Schizosaccharomyces pombe: one gene and its partners. The main gene of each other region encodes a partner of the protein of the gene in region 2 in a complex. Each region holds a gene or a part of one and is shown on either strand. Other genes may lie near its edges.

Region 1 (4,599 bases), on a different chromosome or scaffold from region 2:
GCTTTTTGTGACGAATCTCATTATAAGCAGCCTTAAATGAATGCTTGGTGTGCTTTGCTTTTTGAAAAATCGTAACCGCTGCAATCTCAGGATCCTTCGTTCTTGAACCTAGTCGCATTACTGAAGCGCCTTGATGCAATAAACGAATCAATATTTGATCGACTGCATGATTCGTTTGGCAAGCTACTAAAATCGGAAGAACATGGGAGTGAGTATTCTCAAGTAATGTTTCTATGGCTTTAAGAGTAACAAAGCTTTTACCAGTCCCTGGAGGGCCTTGAATAATGGAGAGTCTCTTAGTCAGCATGGACTGGTAAGCTTTTAACTGTGACGAGTCTAGTATATACTCGCCAGGACCGAACGGCTCAAGAGCATTTACGATTTTTTGAGAGTTATTTTTTAAGATAGAATTTATGCGTATCCTAGGATTATTTTGTATGTGTTTAGCAGTCTCCTGATTACTTTTACAGTGTACCAAGTAATCCTTCATCGGGAATGTGCTAGCAGAAAGCCTCTGTAATGAACGAAGAACATGCTTGTAAGCTTCCCAATAGCCTGAAGTAGCTTCGATCATAACATATTCTTCTCGAGGATCTAAAGAGATACTAATATCTTCAAATTTGACATCTATTTCATGAGGATGTTTATTAAGGCCACTCAAGGGCCGCGCACAGACAGTTCCAATGCGAAAAGTCTGGAAATCATCATTGCTTAATAAAACTAAAGATCCACTGATAAGACGACGACTGGTAGCCCATTTTATTTTTTTCTTAGCGCGAACACTGAAGGATAATTTTGCAGCTATAACACTGGAAGATATTGTATAGCCATCTATCCGCACATGATCATATACGGCTAACGAAGAGCCGGTAATGTAATTGGGGTTTACCTTGTACCGAAGCACACTTTCTCGTAATGGGGAAACTGCGTCCTCACGTAGCAACCGATAGTGTATAGATAAGTAATCTTCAAAGGACTTGTATCCTCCGTATATGTTGTTTGAAGGTAATTCAACACTCTTTGACGTCAATTCTTCCAACGTTGGAATTGATGGTAGTTCCCGCCAAGAAGAAGTATCGCTTGCGGGATGGTGTTCGTTTTCGAATTCTCTATTTTTTCCCGATGTTATATCATTTCTCTTTACATTACTCAATTCATAATCGTTGTCAATGCTTCTCTTACGACGTATTGACTTGTTTTCTTTTAAATTTTTATCAACTTTGTTCCCCTCCGAGTCTTGGGTTTTGGAGGTTTCAGAAGTCTCGATTTGTTCTGTGAAACTCGTAGTATTATTATCGGCGTTAAAGATGTTGCTATACAATGGGTGTCTTTTCATTTCACTTAAAGTTTCTGGCTCGGGGATTTCATCAAACACAACTTCTGTATTTTTGTTCACCATTTCCCAGGCGTCCAGCGTACTTAACTTCCAAATTTCATCTTGTACTTGTTCCATAATAAAAAAGAAAAGGATAATATCCAAAAAATTTCAAAAGGTTATTGTACTAAAATATCTCAGTACGCGCCCACTAGGTCGTAATATTAATCTCGTCCTCCCCAAAGAAGCTAAAAGATATCATAAATAACAATTCATGTACAGTCTCTGCACCTGTCTCTAATATTATTTGTCTAACATACAAATGGGTTGTTTGTTTACTGCCAAGGGCCGTTTTCTGTCTTTACGTGACCATGCATTTAACGCGTTCAGATAATACCCGCAATGTGCAGCTTAGTGTGCCAGCATAAAGCATGTAAGCATGTGTTAACATCGTTGTAAAGTTACCTTATCGTAGTTTATCCATCCTTGAAATAGATTTACAAACTGAGTAGCTTGCATAGTGATAGTGAGCTCTCTCATTTAAGATTTTTATAACTGTATAAGGAGGGAAATGCTAACTGACCTATAACATAGTACAGTTAGCAATTCGTTAGGTTGCAATTCCTATTAGTACCACCTTGGCATGTAATATTTACCTGGTTTTGTTACAACATTGAGAAAGCGCATTTGCTCAAATTAGTCGAAAACGTTGACTTCTATGTGTGGAAGGAATATTTGGGAAAAAATTTTTAAGATTTAATTATGAAATACATTAATCAATTTATGAAAATATCAAAGGGCTTTTTAGTTCCATCGTCCACGATAGGATTGAATTCTAAAACGTACCATTACAAATTTCCATTACTTTCTTTTGTTAGAGAATTTTCAAATGGATCCTACTTAAGGGAGTCTGCACAAAATCCTGCAAATTTGGGTTCGCAAAAAGGGTCCGACATTTTCTCAATGCTTGCTAACCAGAAGGACGATTCTAATCGTCAGCAAAAGGAAGAGCGTGTAAAAGAGAGACCAAGGTCACGTATTTCTTTCAAAAAACAGGAGACCATGGATCCTTCCTACACCTTACAATCAATGGTGCTTCGCTCCTCTTTAAAGAAAGTCGGCGCTTTGTGTCGTCAAATTGCCCATAAGCCATTTTATCATGCTTTACTTCAAATGAAAATGTCAGATAAAAAAATTTCCAAGTACATCGCAACTGCTTTGGTTTCTGCTCGAGAAAACGCTGTTCGTGAAGCTGGTCTTGATGAGAGTACTCTCTACGTTGATCAAATATGGGTTGGAAAGGCAAAGTATTTAAAGAAACTTATCACTATGGGCCGTGGAGGTCGTGCCATTGAGAGATCTCCACGGGTTCGAGTTACTGTTGTTTTAAGAGATGAGCGAGCTCTCTTGCGCGATTTACAGCGTCGTCAACAAAGACTAGAAAGAAAGAAAGTTTGGACGCCTCTGCCTAACCGACCAATATACCTAAAATCTAACTTTTTCACTTGCTAAGTCATTATTGAGATGCCCATATCTTTGATACTCTAATAATATTTCCCCCCAATATCGTTTATAGTAATTCTAGTGCCGTTTTTTTTTTATGAGAATATGGTTTCCCTTATTATTTATTTCTTTAGCAACGCCATAATTTTGTATTTACCTCTATGGTGCTGATGGTATCAGTAGAAAAATAGTACTGTAAAAAGGTAAACTAACCAACCTGTACATACATCACTTTTAGTTCAATGATACGTTTTCGTAAAGAACGCAATTCTTTTTAAACTGTCTAATCTTATTAAATCATTCATGCAATCGTTTGCCTCATTAACATTTTTCAAATTTGGTTTGAAGCATTGCAACGAGCTTCTTTTTTTGACTTTTCAAAACGTGCTTTGGACCATATGTTGAAGCTATCCATATCTCTTCACCATTTTGACACATATTTATTGGTTCTAAATTCATCAGACACTTTTAAACAATCAAGCAAACCGAGTATAAAATATCATTAATTCCCCAATTATTAGGTGTAAAGGTACGCTGGATCCGCATTTTAACTCATTTGCAGTAGCAAATGATCAGTAGGAAAAAAAAGGAAACAAACCGCATCAAATAGACAGTAATTCTTTTTAATGGGCCATAATGAAAAAATAAGTTGAGATAGTAAATGTATCAACTATATTAACTTGAACCACAACAATGAGTTTTTTTTTTTAAACTGTGGGTAAAAATTAATTTAGAGAAAATCAGTGTTTTCATTTAAGAATGTTTGGAAATAGAAAAAAAAATTTCGCATATTTAAACAAGACGTTTTGCAGGGTCATATGTTGCTAACCCCAATTTAAAAACATATTGAAAACATGCGATAAGCACAGAGAAAATAAAAAATATGATAACTATCAATAATAATGCATAATTTAATAAAACATTTCAAGCTTTTTGTAAATTTTTCGACGGCATTCATTTTAATCATCCATTTGGAATGGCGTCTCTTCTTCCACCGTACTATTCCACGGAGGAGAACTATTAGCAACGGTTATACGTGATACGCTATTATTGGTACTCACGACAGGATCATTTTTTGTATCACCAAGACCAGCGATGGTTTCCGGAGATGCTGTATCACTTCTAAAAATAGGCTCGCTCTTCAATCGAGCAAGACTCACAGGTCTTGAACCTTCAGTGGTTGGCGAGCTGAAGACGGCCTCTTCACGAACACTAAAACCTGAAGGTAACTTATAAGAGTTATTGACACTAGTGGCTAAGGGCGTGGTAGACATTGAACCCGAACCTTCAACATAACGAGACTTGGAGAAGTATGCGCCGAACCTACTACTGTTTAACGAATTCATAGTAGAGCTGGTCCGAGTACTTAAACCAGGACTTTTCAAGGAAGAAGTGTACTGCTTAAAGCTTGAACTTAATCGATTGATAGGTGATGAGCCCAAAATGCTTTCATCAAAGCTTCCTAAAGGCGTACTTAAAAAGCGCTGCTCCTCATCACTAACGTCCATTTGATGATTCAAATCTACTTTAGTGGGCAAGCTAGCACTAACCACTGAAGGAAATGCGCCAGCATAGGAATTACTACGAGGTACCTGTCGTCGTTGATTTATTCCCGAGCCAAGTGATAAGTTGCCAAGTGATTGATCGAGTGTAAGTCGAGGACGGGATAAAGAAACACCGGTTTTGGGAGCAAGAGGCGGGCTTTGTAATGGTAGAGATGCTTTTAATGGGTCTTGGCTTGTTAATCTAGATAAGGAAGACAACGTATCAGTGGAAGAACA
Region 2 (5,237 bases):
CCTATATTTGCAAGAAAGTTTACAACCCGACAAAAAAGTGAAGACCAGAAGCAATGGAGGATACTAAGGATTACATTTCTTGTCCTCCCTTTTACGGTCGGAGGATTATGGATTTTATACAGAGTCAAAAATCGAAAGAATAATATTTTCTCCTTTGACGAACTTGAATTAGAAGAGAGAAGCAATCGACCTCGTTCTATTTTTGGAAAAATAAAACAATTTTTTAATATTCTCCTCAGGTCATTTAATTTATTTATTATTTTCTCTCCAATTATTATTACCTTACCGTTTATCGCTCTTATTTCTTTCCTGCATCTTCGATCTTTGTCGTCTTTAACCGTATCCATTTGGCTTCGTTTCCTCGTTACTCAATTAGAAAGAGCAGGAGCAACGTTTATCAAGGTACGTTTTGAATTTACGCTTATCATGTTACTAACATTATTTTTTTATTTTGCAGTTGGGACAATGGGCTGCTTCACGGACAGATTTGTTTCCTCCTGCTTTCTGTAAAACACTGTCCAAATTACATTCACATGTAACGCCCCACAGCCTTGCCTATACTCAATCAGTCATCTGCAAGACTTATAAAGTGGAATCTATCGAGGAAATTTTTGTTAATTTTAACCCAATACCTATAGGTGTTGGAGCAATTGCTCAAGTCTATACGGCTACCATCAAGAAAGCAGCTACGCAGCAAGATAATTCCTACTTTACAAGTATGCTACAATCTATAGGGTTTCGACAGAAAAATATCTCTGATGCGCCAGTGACTCAAGATGTAGCCATTAAAGTTTTGCACCCGAATGTTGAAAAATACATTTCTTTAGACTTACAAATCTTAGGTTTCTTCGCAAAATTAATTAATTTGGTACCTTCAATGAAGTGGCTTTCTCTGCCCGACGAAGTTAAGGTATTTGGGGCAATGTTAAACCAGCAATTGAATTTACATTATGAGGCGCTTCATCTCAACCAGTTCCGTCTTAACTTTAGAGGAAATAGATATGTTGAATTTCCAGCTCCCTATGATGATTACACGACTAATCAAATCCTACTAGAAGACTATATGCCGGGTATCCCATTAAGCGCGTTCCTCAAACATAAGTCAGGACCATTTAACAAGTTGTTAGCTAACACAGGAAATAATGCATTATTTCAAATGCTTATTGTTGACAACTTTACACATGCTGATCTTCATCCGGGTAATGTCCTTGTTAAATTTTACAAAGGAATCCCTAAAACAATCTTTAATCAAGATAATGAGATTAATGACTCAATTTATAAAATTCTAAGTACATGTTCGACGGAGGAATGGGATTCTGCTATGGAAGAATTAAACATCTTGGGCTATCGACCGACTTTAGTATTTTTGGATGCTGGATTAGTAACGAAACTTAGTACGCAGGATCAGAAAAATTTTTTGGATCTGTTTCAAGCCGTACTTACTTTCCATGGCTATGAGGCTGGACTGTTGATGGTTGAAAGGAGCAGGCAGACAGAACGCGTTATAAACAAAGACATATTTGCTCTTAAAATGGAACATTTGTTGAATGAAATTCAAAAGAGCACGCTTTCACTGAAATCACTTCAAATAGGAACTATATTACAAGAAGTAATGACTATGGCGAGAGAGCATCATGTTCGAATTGAAGCAAATTTCGCAAATACTGTGCTATCTATCCTTTTAGTTGAAGGCGCTGGACGCCAACTATATCCAGAAATGGATCTATTAAGTAATGCTACACCATATCTTCGTTCTGCTTCATCGAAATCCAATGTCTCACTCACAAACCCAATGGTTCAATTATGGATAGCTTTAGAAGCTAGACAATTTTTGCTTTTAAGCACCTCTAAAGAAACGGTAGAAAAGTGGGTTAAGTCCGATATGATCGCACCCAATATATAAAAAAATTACGGTTTATTTTATAAATGATGGAAAATTGTTCATGAAAAATATAGTCGCAGACATGGAAAATAAATTTTATAAACTCGTGTTTTAAAGAAGTTATTAAAGTTCAAAGTTCAACAAGTAAAATTAAACAAAGAACCAATGGAAAGAAAATGTATCACAAACTAGAAAGCATTACTTAAATGAAGAATTGATAGAGGTTACTAATGCAAATTAGAGCCCATTAAAAGATAATATGTACTCAATGGCTCAGATACATCCTCCCTTTTTGTCTTCGATCTCGTAAAACACGACGACCGTTAACAGAACGAATTCGAGATAAAAATCCGTGTTTTCTTTTACGCTTTCTATTTGAGGGTTGATACTCGTTTCCATACGTTTTCCAACGCACTTGCTGCATTTGACCGAAGATGTTCATAGTCGGTAAAGAACTGTATAAAGTAGCGGTATTAAAAGGGTTTCTTGTCGGAAACCCTCTCATAGTTCCTCCTCCAGCTAATATTGAAATATTCCTGGCTCCCTTCATGGCAGGATGCAACAAATTTCGAAATTGTTGCATAAACATCATAAAGCAATAGGAATGAAAGCAGGTGACTGGATTTCAAGAGAAAAAATTTCAAAAAATAATATAAAAATTATATATGAACGTAAATGTGCAAAATGAAGAGATTTGAGATGTGATGGAGTAGCTGGTTATTAGAAAGGTTGAAGTGAATCAGTGTAGCACCGTTTGACATTCGAAGTGTTAAATTTCAAATATTTGTGTTACAATAAATTAAAATCTTTGCTAAAATCCAATAACTACGTTTTAATAGTTTCATTCAATTCACTGGAATGTCGGTAATATAATAATAATACTATTATTATTAATAAATAGTTCATTAACCATTCTTTATACGCCCTTAAAGAAAGCAACCTGAACCCCTAAAATTTGATATCGCTTTTGCTTTTTCCCAACAAATAATTGGCATGAGATTACCAAATAGTAAAATCCATCAGTTTAATGAATTCGATTCATGGGCTAAAAGTGATAATTTATAGTACAAAAAAGGTTTTAGCAGTTAAATGACATCTTATACTTTCTTTTATCTATTTTATTTTATTAATAATACCCAGTATTTTAAATTGGAAGCAAATTGCTGCAGTCCCGGCTTTTTAAATATTGAAAGCATATTAAATATACTCATATATGGGAGCATCAATACATTAAATTTATCAAAAGTTATTATTTTTTTTTGTTTTTACGTGACATAATAAAATGGAGAAAAGGAGCTCTAATCTGCTATTTAAAATATTTGTTAAAAAAAAGGCATCGACGATGAGAATTTAGCGTATTGTTCTGCATTGCGATATTTCTTTAAACATAGGGGTTCACGAAAGTACAGCCTCTGCCACCGTCTTTTAGGGGACTTTATTGTCATTGTGAAAGTACAGAAAAATAAGTGTTGGATTTTCTAGGAACTAAAAAATGGATTATCAAAACCGCGCAGGTGTTCGTTTTGGAGGAGGAGGCGTTGCTGGCTATCAAGAAACAAATGCTGCACGTAGAGAGCGTCTTCGTAAATTGGCGCTAGAAACCATTGATTTATCAAAGGTATGTTTAAAAACCACTGAATTCTGAAAATTTGAGTGCTGAATGTCAATTATAATTACCGATGAATTAATCGTGTAAAGTAAGACATGTACGTATGTTACATATTATTGAAGTTTATTAGTAGTTGCTGTTAAATTCGCTAACTATAACAACTAAAATAACAACAATAATAAATGAAAAGGATTTGCTTTCTACTTCCTTGTTTGCTGTTTTGCATGTTACACTAATTGGACATCTTTTTTTTACCCTGTCAATCACCTTGAAGCTTCCTCCTCAAACTCTTTGCGATGATATTTCTATTGCTAATCTCTTATAGGATCCATATTTGATGAAAAATCATTTAGGCACTTTTGAATGTCGTCTTTGCCTCACTACACATGCGAATGAAAACTCTTACCTTACCCATACACAAGGTAAAAAACACCAGACAAATTTAGCCAGGAGACAGGCTCTCGAAAATAAAAAGTCTCAAGAGAATGCACCACAAGTGTTGTTGGGCATTTCTCAATCCCATGTCCAGGTTAAAAAAAGTGTCGTAAAAATTGGTCGACCCGGTTATAAAGTGTCCAAAATAAGAGAAGCCGAAAGCGGAAAATTTGGCCTACGTTTCCAAATAAAGTATCCAGATATTGAAGTGAACGCTAAGCCAAGATACAGAATTATGAGTGCTTATGAACAGCGTGTTGAAGCTCCTGACCGAAAGTTTCAGTATCTGGTAGTGGCTGCTGAACCATACGAATCAATAGCCTTTAAAATTGGTATGTTGGTTTTACTGATTTTTTATTTATATTAACTTTGTTGCGCAGATGCTCACGAAATAGATCGTGCACCCGGGAAATTTTGGAGTTATTGGGATGCACCTACATATACTATCCAATTCTTTTACAACTTAACAAAAATATCGTAAATTTTGAGCTGCTATCCTAAATTTCCTTTTTATGAAACAAAATGTCTTTTCCAAATATTTCGCTCAGTCTCCCAATTTATCAATACCGCAGTTCTTTATGTGTGTAAAAGAATTCGAACTCAATCATTCTGAATTGTTTCTCCACACGTGAATTGTAGAAGAACCGTGCTAGCTAAACCTATTTTGGTGATTTATATACTTATTTTCCCAGATTTGTGGAAGTACCAATTGATAAAGTTGGCTAACTTCTACTGTATGGCGTTCGATAAATTAGCAAATGTCGCTACAGTGGACGCGATTTTTGCGATATCTAGCTCAACTTTCCTTTGGTCTACATGGGTTCTACAACGGACAATATTAAAACGGCCTAATTTTTTTTCTCCAAACCCAGTTGTTGAGAAAATGGTGCATCCAACTTTGATTACTTGGAAATTGTTTTCATTTACATCAGTATTAACTGTTTCAACCTTTACCTTCGCTTCCTGTTTGATAATGCGAACAATTGGTGTTGAAAATATAAAAGAATTTGGTCTTTATGCTCGAGAAAAGCTTAGTTTTGCAAGAGCAAAGCCAGTTAAGGATGACATTACCAGCTTTCCTAATCACAAAATTAGTATCACTTAAATTGTATACTATAAAAAGTAATTACGTGTTTATTTTACACTTTTTAAAATGTACACGGCTTCCCTCTTTCAGTCAAGTCATGATACCGTTATATGAATATTCTATAAATTAATGGGAATCCCTTTATAAAAGTCACAAAAAGCTATGCGTTTATCATAAATGATTGTATATGGCTTCATTGCAGGCAATGAACATAAGCCTCCAAA
Region 3 (4,019 bases), 420 kb from region 2:
CAAGTTTTTAATTCAAAGTATGGCTATCGGTGATGCTGATACCAGTAATGTCGAAAATTATCACGAGTTTTGGACTGAAATGGAAAAACAAGGCCGTTCCATTTTTGATCGTAAAATCCGCTGTGTTTATTCAACTAAGCAACCTCCTCAATCCGCTGATAAACAGGTTGAGAACACTAGTACTTCTAACCCCCCTGTTTCTGTTGAAGGTTCCGAAAACTTAGCATCTTCTGTCGGCGGCCCTACGGCGGTTGGTGTGTCTTTGGATGAAGCTCAAAATGACTTCAATGGAGCAAAGGATCATTTAAGCAATGGTGTTAATACTGTTGTTCCAGATAGTACCTTCCGCTCTACTTTCGAAAGTGCACAAATTCCCGACGCCAGTGTAGTTCAAACCGTTGTTACTGATGCTGACAATGGTGCTGCTTCTGTCAAAGATACCATTGTGACAGCCGAAAGTGCTTCTTCCAAAGGAGCCGATGTTGCTAGATCGAAGGTACAAGATATTATTGATAATGAAATTCCAAAGCCTTCAGAAAGCCCTCGTCGCTCTGTTTCTTCGACTCCACCAGTCCACCCCCCTCCTCCCGTCCCCCAAAATTTATCAGCTGTCAATGAAGAATTTGATACTAAGAAGAATGATTTCGATTCTAAACTTCCTGAATCTACCCCTGCCGTTGAAAAAGTTTCTGAAAATCTCGGATCTGAAACTCGTGAATCTTTACAAGGGGCAAAACCTGCTGCAGGTGCTCATAGTTCCGACAACGCCTTGGAACAAATCAAGCCCTCTTATTCAGCTGACCCTTCGAGTTCCACTGGTGCTTCTTTAACCGAATCTCCAGGAATTCCTCCCAATATTGTTATCATTCTTTGCCTGATTTTCTTCCTTATTGGCTATCTTTTCTTTTAAAATGTAAAGCGTAGATATGTTTAATAAGAAGTGTAAAATCTTCTCCCTAAGTTAATGGCTCTTGATTTTATTACTTTATATGGCCTTTGCTAAGCAAGGTTTTAGGTTGACGTTTGTTGAATTTGTTTGCTCTTCACAACGATAGGGTACTTTTTAGCGCGTTTATCTGGCTTTGGAGATAATTTCCAAATGTCGTTATTTATGTCGACGTCTCATGTTATCTACTTTTTACTCGCAAGAAAAGTTGTAGTCCTCTTATGGTTACCAGACATTCATTCTTACCAGTTCACAAACGTAAATGTGTCTTTAAATACATTACAGCTTCTTATAGTGAATACAATAACATTAATTTATATAAAATAATTTTTTTTGGAAAGAACAATATTAAAATGTGTTAGCTTTTTAGGGCATACGACATTGTGGAATGTTCAAACATTAATGCAAAAAATCAATGAAATTTAAGTGAGTAGGGATATGGCTTTTGTTCTTTGAACTACCTTTTAAAATTAAAGGAGATTTTAAACACTTATTTCGAGAATAATTCCTTCGCAATTTGCGAACTTACAGGATTATGGTAGGAACGAAATATGTTTGCCTTATAAGGGTGTTCAGCTCCATCGTAAATATAAAGACGTTTCATTCTCCTATCCCAAAGCTTATTTCTTGGAAGCATTCCACCAACTGCTCTTCTCAACAAATCCTTGTGCCCCCGTTTCGCAGCCATTTCTTCCATCGTCCACTCTTTAAGATGACCAGGCTGACCCGAATGTGAATAATATTTATGATTTTCGAGTTTTCGACCAGAAATCCCAATTTCAGAACAGTCAGTGACTACTACGACATCTCCACAGTCTGCTGCAGGGTGATAAATGGGTTTGTGCTTGCCCATAAGAGTAGTTGCAATTTGGGAAGCCAGCCTACCTAGAGGAACATTTTTTGCAGAAACATGATGCCAAACTTTGGCGTAAGCCAATGCTGTCTGATATTGTTAGTAAAAGAAACTGTCAAACTAATTTCATACTTGTCCATTCAACGTTGACATCGCGTTGAGATTTCTATATCATAAAATCCTCAGTTCCTTCTGATTTTTCTCTTAAAGCGACAGTACAATATCAGTGGTTTCTAATAAAAGAGAAGTAGGAAAATTGCTCAAATAATGTTTCCTCAAGCTTGTAGGTGTGGGTAAATATTGGATGCTAAGCAACTGTAGTAAGGTAACTGTTACCTACAAAATTTCTATTTTTCAAAAATGTTGTTTTATTTATTATTTCTTAAATATTGATTTTTCAATTCATAATACGAACCTCCTTTACTAATCATGATAAAGCTAATAGCTATTGCTTCAAAAAATACCATTTGTATATATTAGAAAAAATAAGGCAATGAACGATACAATGATAAAACTAATTTTTGATAAGCCCAAAGAATCACAGTAAATTGCAATAATATACAATTAACGCTTGATTACGAATTTTCCGTCTCAGGACCAGATTCATGCTGAATGTTTTCAATTTGACTCAACAGCTGAACCATTGTTAAGCCTTCCGGACCATACAAATATCGCTTGCTATACAAGTAGCTGCTTATCGACAATGGACGGAATTGTAAATATCTTTGCAATTCATGGAGGAGTATAGAGGACTCTTCATGGCCTATAAATTCCGCTAATTCATCAATGGTTTGTGGATGTTGAATATTCTGAACTCGTAAGAGACCCATCAAAAAGATTTGTATAAAGTTAATTTGATGTCCATCTAAATATTCAAACAAGAGAAGTTCTTTAGCAATAAAGCTTTCCACTTTCTTTAATAAAGATGCGCTAGAAGCTAGTTGGATAGGAGTGGGTATTTGATATTGCCTATGTGATGAAAGCGAGGGATTTTCATAGCTTTTCCATGCCTTTTGATAGATGAAACGTCGTACGCGTAGCAAATCGGCCAATCTGTCAGTGTTTTCGCTGGAGGAAAATGAAGGCTGCCGTAGTAATTGTCGTGAAATCGAATACTGATTTGACCCCAAAGATTGAGTATACCACTTCTTATACAAACTTGACCCATGAAATCCATAAAACACACAATCTACGTGTCTCTTACAGATGGGACATGTCAAGGATTGATCCATCCAGCGACATATGCAAGAATAATCGAACTGGTCATGCCCACATGGAGATAGCTGTGCCCGAAGACCATCTTTTTGTAAACATATAACGCAATCTCGACGAAGGTAGCGAGAATTTGACGAGTTTTTACGTACAAGGAATTGCTTTTTCATTCTTCTTCTAAAATTTAATAACTTGTTATATTGTATTTATGCACTAAATTAATTGATGTGTATGAAACCGCATGAATGGCAGAATGTCAAGTTATCTTGTCATCAAAAAACATTGTGTGCTTATTCTTCTTAATGGAAAATTATTCAAGTCATAATTTGCAAGACTTGTTGAATTTTTTAAGGTGAATTTTCACAATCGTCGTCTTACACTAGATGTAGGCTAAGTTATGAGAACAATTAACAATTCGCAGTTACTAAACTGAATCTCTTCTGTACGCTCTTCGTAACGTTAACTTAGCTTAACGCGGTTAATGCTATATGCATAATACAAACAAAGAAGTACATGTTAATGTTAGCAGAACTACACTAGCTATGATACAGTACGTTGCGTATCACTATATGTCATATGCTAAGATATTACTTAAGATTCGTTTGCTGATAGATGCGGATAAATTGCTTTTCTGCATACATAAATAAATTGCTAAAAACTATTAGAAAGATTGTAAATAGAGCTACCACTGAACCTCGTTCCTCAGCTCAGTTATTAGCTATATCGGTGACCGATACTAATAGACTTCTTATAACAATAAATATACATTGTTAGTTAAATATTGCATACCGCTATATTGTAGGTCGCTAGAGAAACGTACCGCAATTTTTCGTATCGTTAAACAGATACCGAACTGCGTAGTCAACAGTTAAAAAATATAACGAAGTAACCTGTATTGCACTGTACAGAAACTTTTAGGTAAGTAGAGAGGCTAAAGTCCTCGAGAAATAAGAAAGTATAAGCGGGTTTAGCTAAAAAACTTAGCATCTTTTGTTCATCTGAATGCCT
Region 4 (3,864 bases), on a different chromosome or scaffold from region 2:
TCTGCCAAATACTCAACGAACCATCATGCAAAACAAACATTATAACAAGTAAAATAGTACCGGTAAGGAAAGCAACATCCCGAAGGAAGTGACGCCGAGGTATTTTAAATGGCTTTATTAAACATACGCTGCCAGCAACTATGGCTACGATGAAGAATGCAGAGCCCAAAAGTTCCCCAATAGCCATTCCCCCACTGTTGACACGTACAGCAGCGAACGTACTAAGAATATCAGGAGATCCATTGCCTAAAGCAAGAAAAGTAACGCCAACCACAGAATCGGGCAATTGAAGTAGCCACGAAATAGTAACCAAATTGGTACTAAAAAAATCACTAGCAGAAATTCCGATAGTTATGAAAAGGAAAATCAGCCATCCCACAATTATTGATAACACTGGGAATCGGAGACTGTTAATGGTACAAAAATAAAATTCAACGTAATCAAAGAACCCACTAGCCTCTCCCTTACAGTAAGCCTTTGCAAACCGACATTGATTAGCAGGGGTAATGTTTTTGATATCATTGCATGTAAGTAAAATTTGGTCGTTGCTATCATTTAAGGTATTTCCGCGCTCAAAAAGATGGACGGTTGAGTCCGAAGTCGAGGATACTGAAGCAAACGCTTTGCTAATCCGATGAGTCCAGAATAAAATGTAGGCAATGCCAAGGATACACCAAAGTAATATTAGTCTGTATTTCTTCAAGAAACATGAAGTTTTCGACATTTTTATACCTGATATCCAAGATATAGAAAATCCATGCTTAAACCGCATTGCTAGGTATTAGCAGCCCTTTTTTTTCTAAGATAGATGGGATGAAAAAGACTAATCCTATAATAAATATATAAATGCGCAGTACTCAAGATTGCCCCCAATTTTGGCAGAAAAAGTAAGAATGTAACTAGTATATTTAATAGAAGCAAACGTCACAACAGAATATCGATAAATATACGTGTCCGTAAACAATAAATAACAACAGTCAACGCAACATAAGGTATCGTAACGTAGAAATTTCTCCTTTCAAAGTGTATGCCCAATCATTAACAGATAGAATAAAGCAACAGTTGAAAAGGGTACCAAAATTTTTCAAAACAATAAAGAATGAGGCTGATAAACATACTAGCTATGAGCAAGATCAAAATACACAGCTCCATCCAACCCATTTGCACCTTCAGGATAAGTTCCTTTAGTGGCTTGAATTCGACGAGAAACAAAAGGCAAAAGCTTTGAAAGTTAATATAAAACAATATTCATTAATTTACAACATACCTCACAATCACCAGAAGGAGGCACAAACGTGCGAACACGCGACCACTGGACAAGAAAACCTCCATGCCTGGTTTTTTGACCCATTTTCCCAGTTCTTGTACCCTTGTAATACTGATGACCCAACTTTGTGGTCATTGGCAAGCGTCTTGCTCCAAAACATAATAATGATTGATGCATTTTGAATAACTCTCGATTTGGGTAAATGGAGGGTTTAAGTTGGCGCGTTTTCCGTCATAAAAGAAAAGGTAACGGTATAAGGTAACAGTCAAAGCGAAACATAGAATGTAAACAATAAAAATATTTGTTTAAAACGAACAAACGAATTACATTATGAAACTAAAAAATGAAATAAGTACGAAAAACTATTTTTTTTTCAACATTTAAATGAGCTTTCTTGTTGTTTATCTTTCTGCACAGTTCAATGAAAACAAGTACGGTTAATCTACAATTAAACGCCTCAAAATATGCCTTTAAAAATTTTAGTTATTAAAATCAGTTATTAAAAAATACTGTTACATCTCCCATTTCATTACTCGTTTGAGCCGATTTCCAACAGATAAATATATATTAAGTGTCCGTTCACGTTCGCGTTATTTATAACGAAATACGATGAGTTGTGGAATAAAGTGTTAAAGCTTTTGTTAAATGGCATTACGATTTATAGTGATGCTTAATGTACAGAACGTGGACAAAACCCTCGTAAGCATCAACATCTTACTTCTTCTTCAGCTAGTCGGCTGAAAACGTTGGCATAATGAATCAGCCAGAACGGTATGAGCTCATTGAGCTTATGGGACTCCCCAAGTAAGGAATAAACAATTTTACAAGGAATTGCATTAACCAGTGTAGAGTCACATATGAGCTCGATAGCAAATCACCTAATGCCGCAGTAGTTACTCTTGAAAAAGAGGATCATACATTGGCTAATATGCTTGCAAAGTAAGACTTCTAAATTTTTTTTTCTTTTCTAACTGCTTTTTCGAAGTCAACTCCTATCTGACGAAAGGGTTCTTTTTGCTGGTTACAAAGTTCCTCATCCATTAAATCACAATTTCATACTTCGTGTACAAACCGTAGAAGATTGTTCTCCAAAGCAGGTTATTGTTGATGCTGCTAAGTCCCTTATTACTCATCTGGAAGAAATCAAAGTTAATTTTATGCGTGAATGGGAGTTGAAAATGATATCTGTTGAAGGCGTTGAAATGGAGTTTTCCTAAAATCCACGGCTGCTTTTTCTCTAATATTTATTAGAGTTTTGTTTCAAAAAATACAGAATACCCTCTGTATGCATCTTTATTACAAAAATTTTGACTTTCGTTTTCGCAACTTCTGTAATTTGGACCGAAGTCGTATTAAAAGGGAAAATAAAAGTTTCTTTCTTTTTTGAAAACAGATGCTTTAAAAAAGGTGAAAGTTCTCCGATCTTTTATTGTATATGCTTCTTCATAAACCAACTAGAAAACTGCAGCAATGGCGATGAAAGTTTTTCTAGGTACCTGGATTATTCTCTGATATTGCTTTTTTTTTCAAAGTTGAATTTTGCTGAATGTAATCGAAGTGATTAATTTCCTACAGTAGGGCAGAGCATCGATTCTTACATTCAATCTTAAAAGAAATAAATTAATTAATGTTGTACTATTACAATTTATGTCATTGAATTATTCACAATCATCATTTTCTCTCCAAATGCTTTGCTTCAATTGCATTACGAAATTTGTTTATTCCTGTATTAGTTATTATTATAGAATACTTTTTGGATATGTAAGTAATTATATTTTCTTAAAATATACGATAAATATTCTTGCATAAATTAATGATACCCTATGCTTTGCACATATGCTCCATCTGCGTATCAGTTTTATAACGTCCGAATATCGCTAATAGTAAACGCTCCTATTACATTGTGACGAAAAGTTTGAAACTTTGTTCAATTTTTGATTATGAGCTCTAAATTATTTCAAAATAAGCTGTTATTAGCAGGGATTGGGGGATTTATGGTAGGCGGTCTAGCTTCTTGGGTTGTTTCCAGTGATGCCTATACAGCATATCATCGACTACCAGCAAGTGCGAAACATATTTCTGAAATTTCGAAATCGCCTGAAGCTGTTCAAATGATTGATAACATTTATCGCGAACGTCAACGCAGCATGAAAATGGAGGAGCATCCGTCCTTGCTTCAATCTAAGTATCCTTCCAATTTTCTTTCCTTTAAAGATGGATTGATACCTGTATTTAAAACATTTTATGACCCCGAACATGAAGAATGGATCAGCATTGGACTCATGGGTAAGGCTTTGACAGGATATCAGAAACTGGCTCATGGGGGCGCCATTGCAACTTTATTGATCGAGTCTCTTGAGACTGTTCGGAATCTTAGATCATCGCAAGCAAATTCACAATCAACACAGCCTCGGGACCCTATTCCTACTGAAAACTTCGATGTGCGTACTCCCAGTTATAGCATAAACTACAAAAAGCCTGTGCCTGCTGGAGACTGGGTAATCGTTCGAGTTAAAGACGATGTTGCACGATTATACAATTCTAAAAGTCAGCTGTTAGCTGAAGCTTTGGATTTACAATCGTAGTCATTGTTAAAT

The links.
Region 1: mrx14 (region 2) and mrpl22 share a complex: the UniProt entries of both Schizosaccharomyces pombe proteins name them as parts of the mitochondrial large ribosomal subunit.
Region 3: mrx14 (region 2) and mrpl23 share a complex: the UniProt entries of both Schizosaccharomyces pombe proteins name them as parts of the mitochondrial large ribosomal subunit.
Region 4: mrx14 (region 2) and mrpl27 share a complex: the UniProt entries of both Schizosaccharomyces pombe proteins name them as parts of the mitochondrial large ribosomal subunit.

Annotation. Positions count from the first base shown.
Region 1 is NC_003421.2:2,026,509-2,031,107, reverse strand, and holds mrpl22 (mitochondrial 54S ribosomal protein uL22m), read left to right. Parts: upstream 1-1,973; 5' UTR 1,974-2,077; coding exon 2,078-2,827; 3' UTR 2,828-2,934; downstream 2,935-4,599. Other genes in the region: helicase Hrr1, read right to left, coding at 1-1,453; SPOM_SPCC1739.01 (zf-CCCH type zinc finger protein), read right to left, coding at 3,778-4,599. UniProt on the Schizosaccharomyces pombe protein: Component of the mitochondrial ribosome (mitoribosome), a dedicated translation machinery responsible for the synthesis of mitochondrial genome-encoded proteins, including at least some of the essential transmembrane subunits of the mitochondrial respiratory chain.
Region 2 is NC_003423.3:3,802,428-3,807,664, forward strand, and holds mrx14 (mitochondrial 54S ribosomal protein bL34m), read right to left. Parts: upstream 2,602-5,237; 5' UTR 2,475-2,601; coding exon 2,148-2,474; 3' UTR 1,904-2,147; downstream 1-1,903. Other genes in the region: cqd1 (ABC1 kinase family protein ), read left to right, coding at 1-402, 458-1,903; U2 snRNP-associated protein Sap62, read left to right, coding at 3,375-3,500, 3,817-4,258, 4,322-4,407; SPOM_SPBC21C3.06 (uncharacterized protein), read left to right, coding at 4,663-5,031. UniProt on the Schizosaccharomyces pombe protein: Component of the mitochondrial ribosome (mitoribosome), a dedicated translation machinery responsible for the synthesis of mitochondrial genome-encoded proteins, including at least some of the essential transmembrane subunits of the mitochondrial respiratory chain.
Region 3 is NC_003423.3:4,217,836-4,221,854, reverse strand, and holds mrpl23 (mitochondrial 54S ribosomal protein uL13m), read right to left. Parts: upstream 2,083-4,019; 5' UTR 1,953-2,082; coding exon 1,932-1,952; intron 1,890-1,931; coding exon 1,437-1,889; 3' UTR 1,239-1,436; downstream 1-1,238. Other genes in the region: scs2 (VAP family protein), read left to right, coding at 1-910; mrz1 (ubiquitin-protein ligase E3), read right to left, coding at 2,375-3,181. UniProt on the Schizosaccharomyces pombe protein: Component of the mitochondrial ribosome (mitoribosome), a dedicated translation machinery responsible for the synthesis of mitochondrial genome-encoded proteins, including at least some of the essential transmembrane subunits of the mitochondrial respiratory chain.
Region 4 is NC_003424.3:1,431,932-1,435,795, forward strand, and holds mrpl27 (mitochondrial ribosomal protein subunit L27), read right to left. Parts: upstream 1,468-3,864; 5' UTR 1,445-1,467; coding exon 1,268-1,444; exon of another isoform or gene 1,223-1,267; coding exon 1,118-1,222; 3' UTR 842-1,117; downstream 1-841. Other genes in the region: SPOM_SPAC3A12.06C (sodium/calcium exchanger), read right to left, coding at 1-724; DNA-directed RNA polymerase II complex subunit Rpb11, read left to right, coding at 2,022-2,071, 2,117-2,206, 2,253-2,484; SPOM_SPAC3A12.08 (uncharacterized protein), read left to right, coding at 3,208-3,852. UniProt on the Schizosaccharomyces pombe protein: Component of the mitochondrial ribosome (mitoribosome), a dedicated translation machinery responsible for the synthesis of mitochondrial genome-encoded proteins, including at least some of the essential transmembrane subunits of the mitochondrial respiratory chain.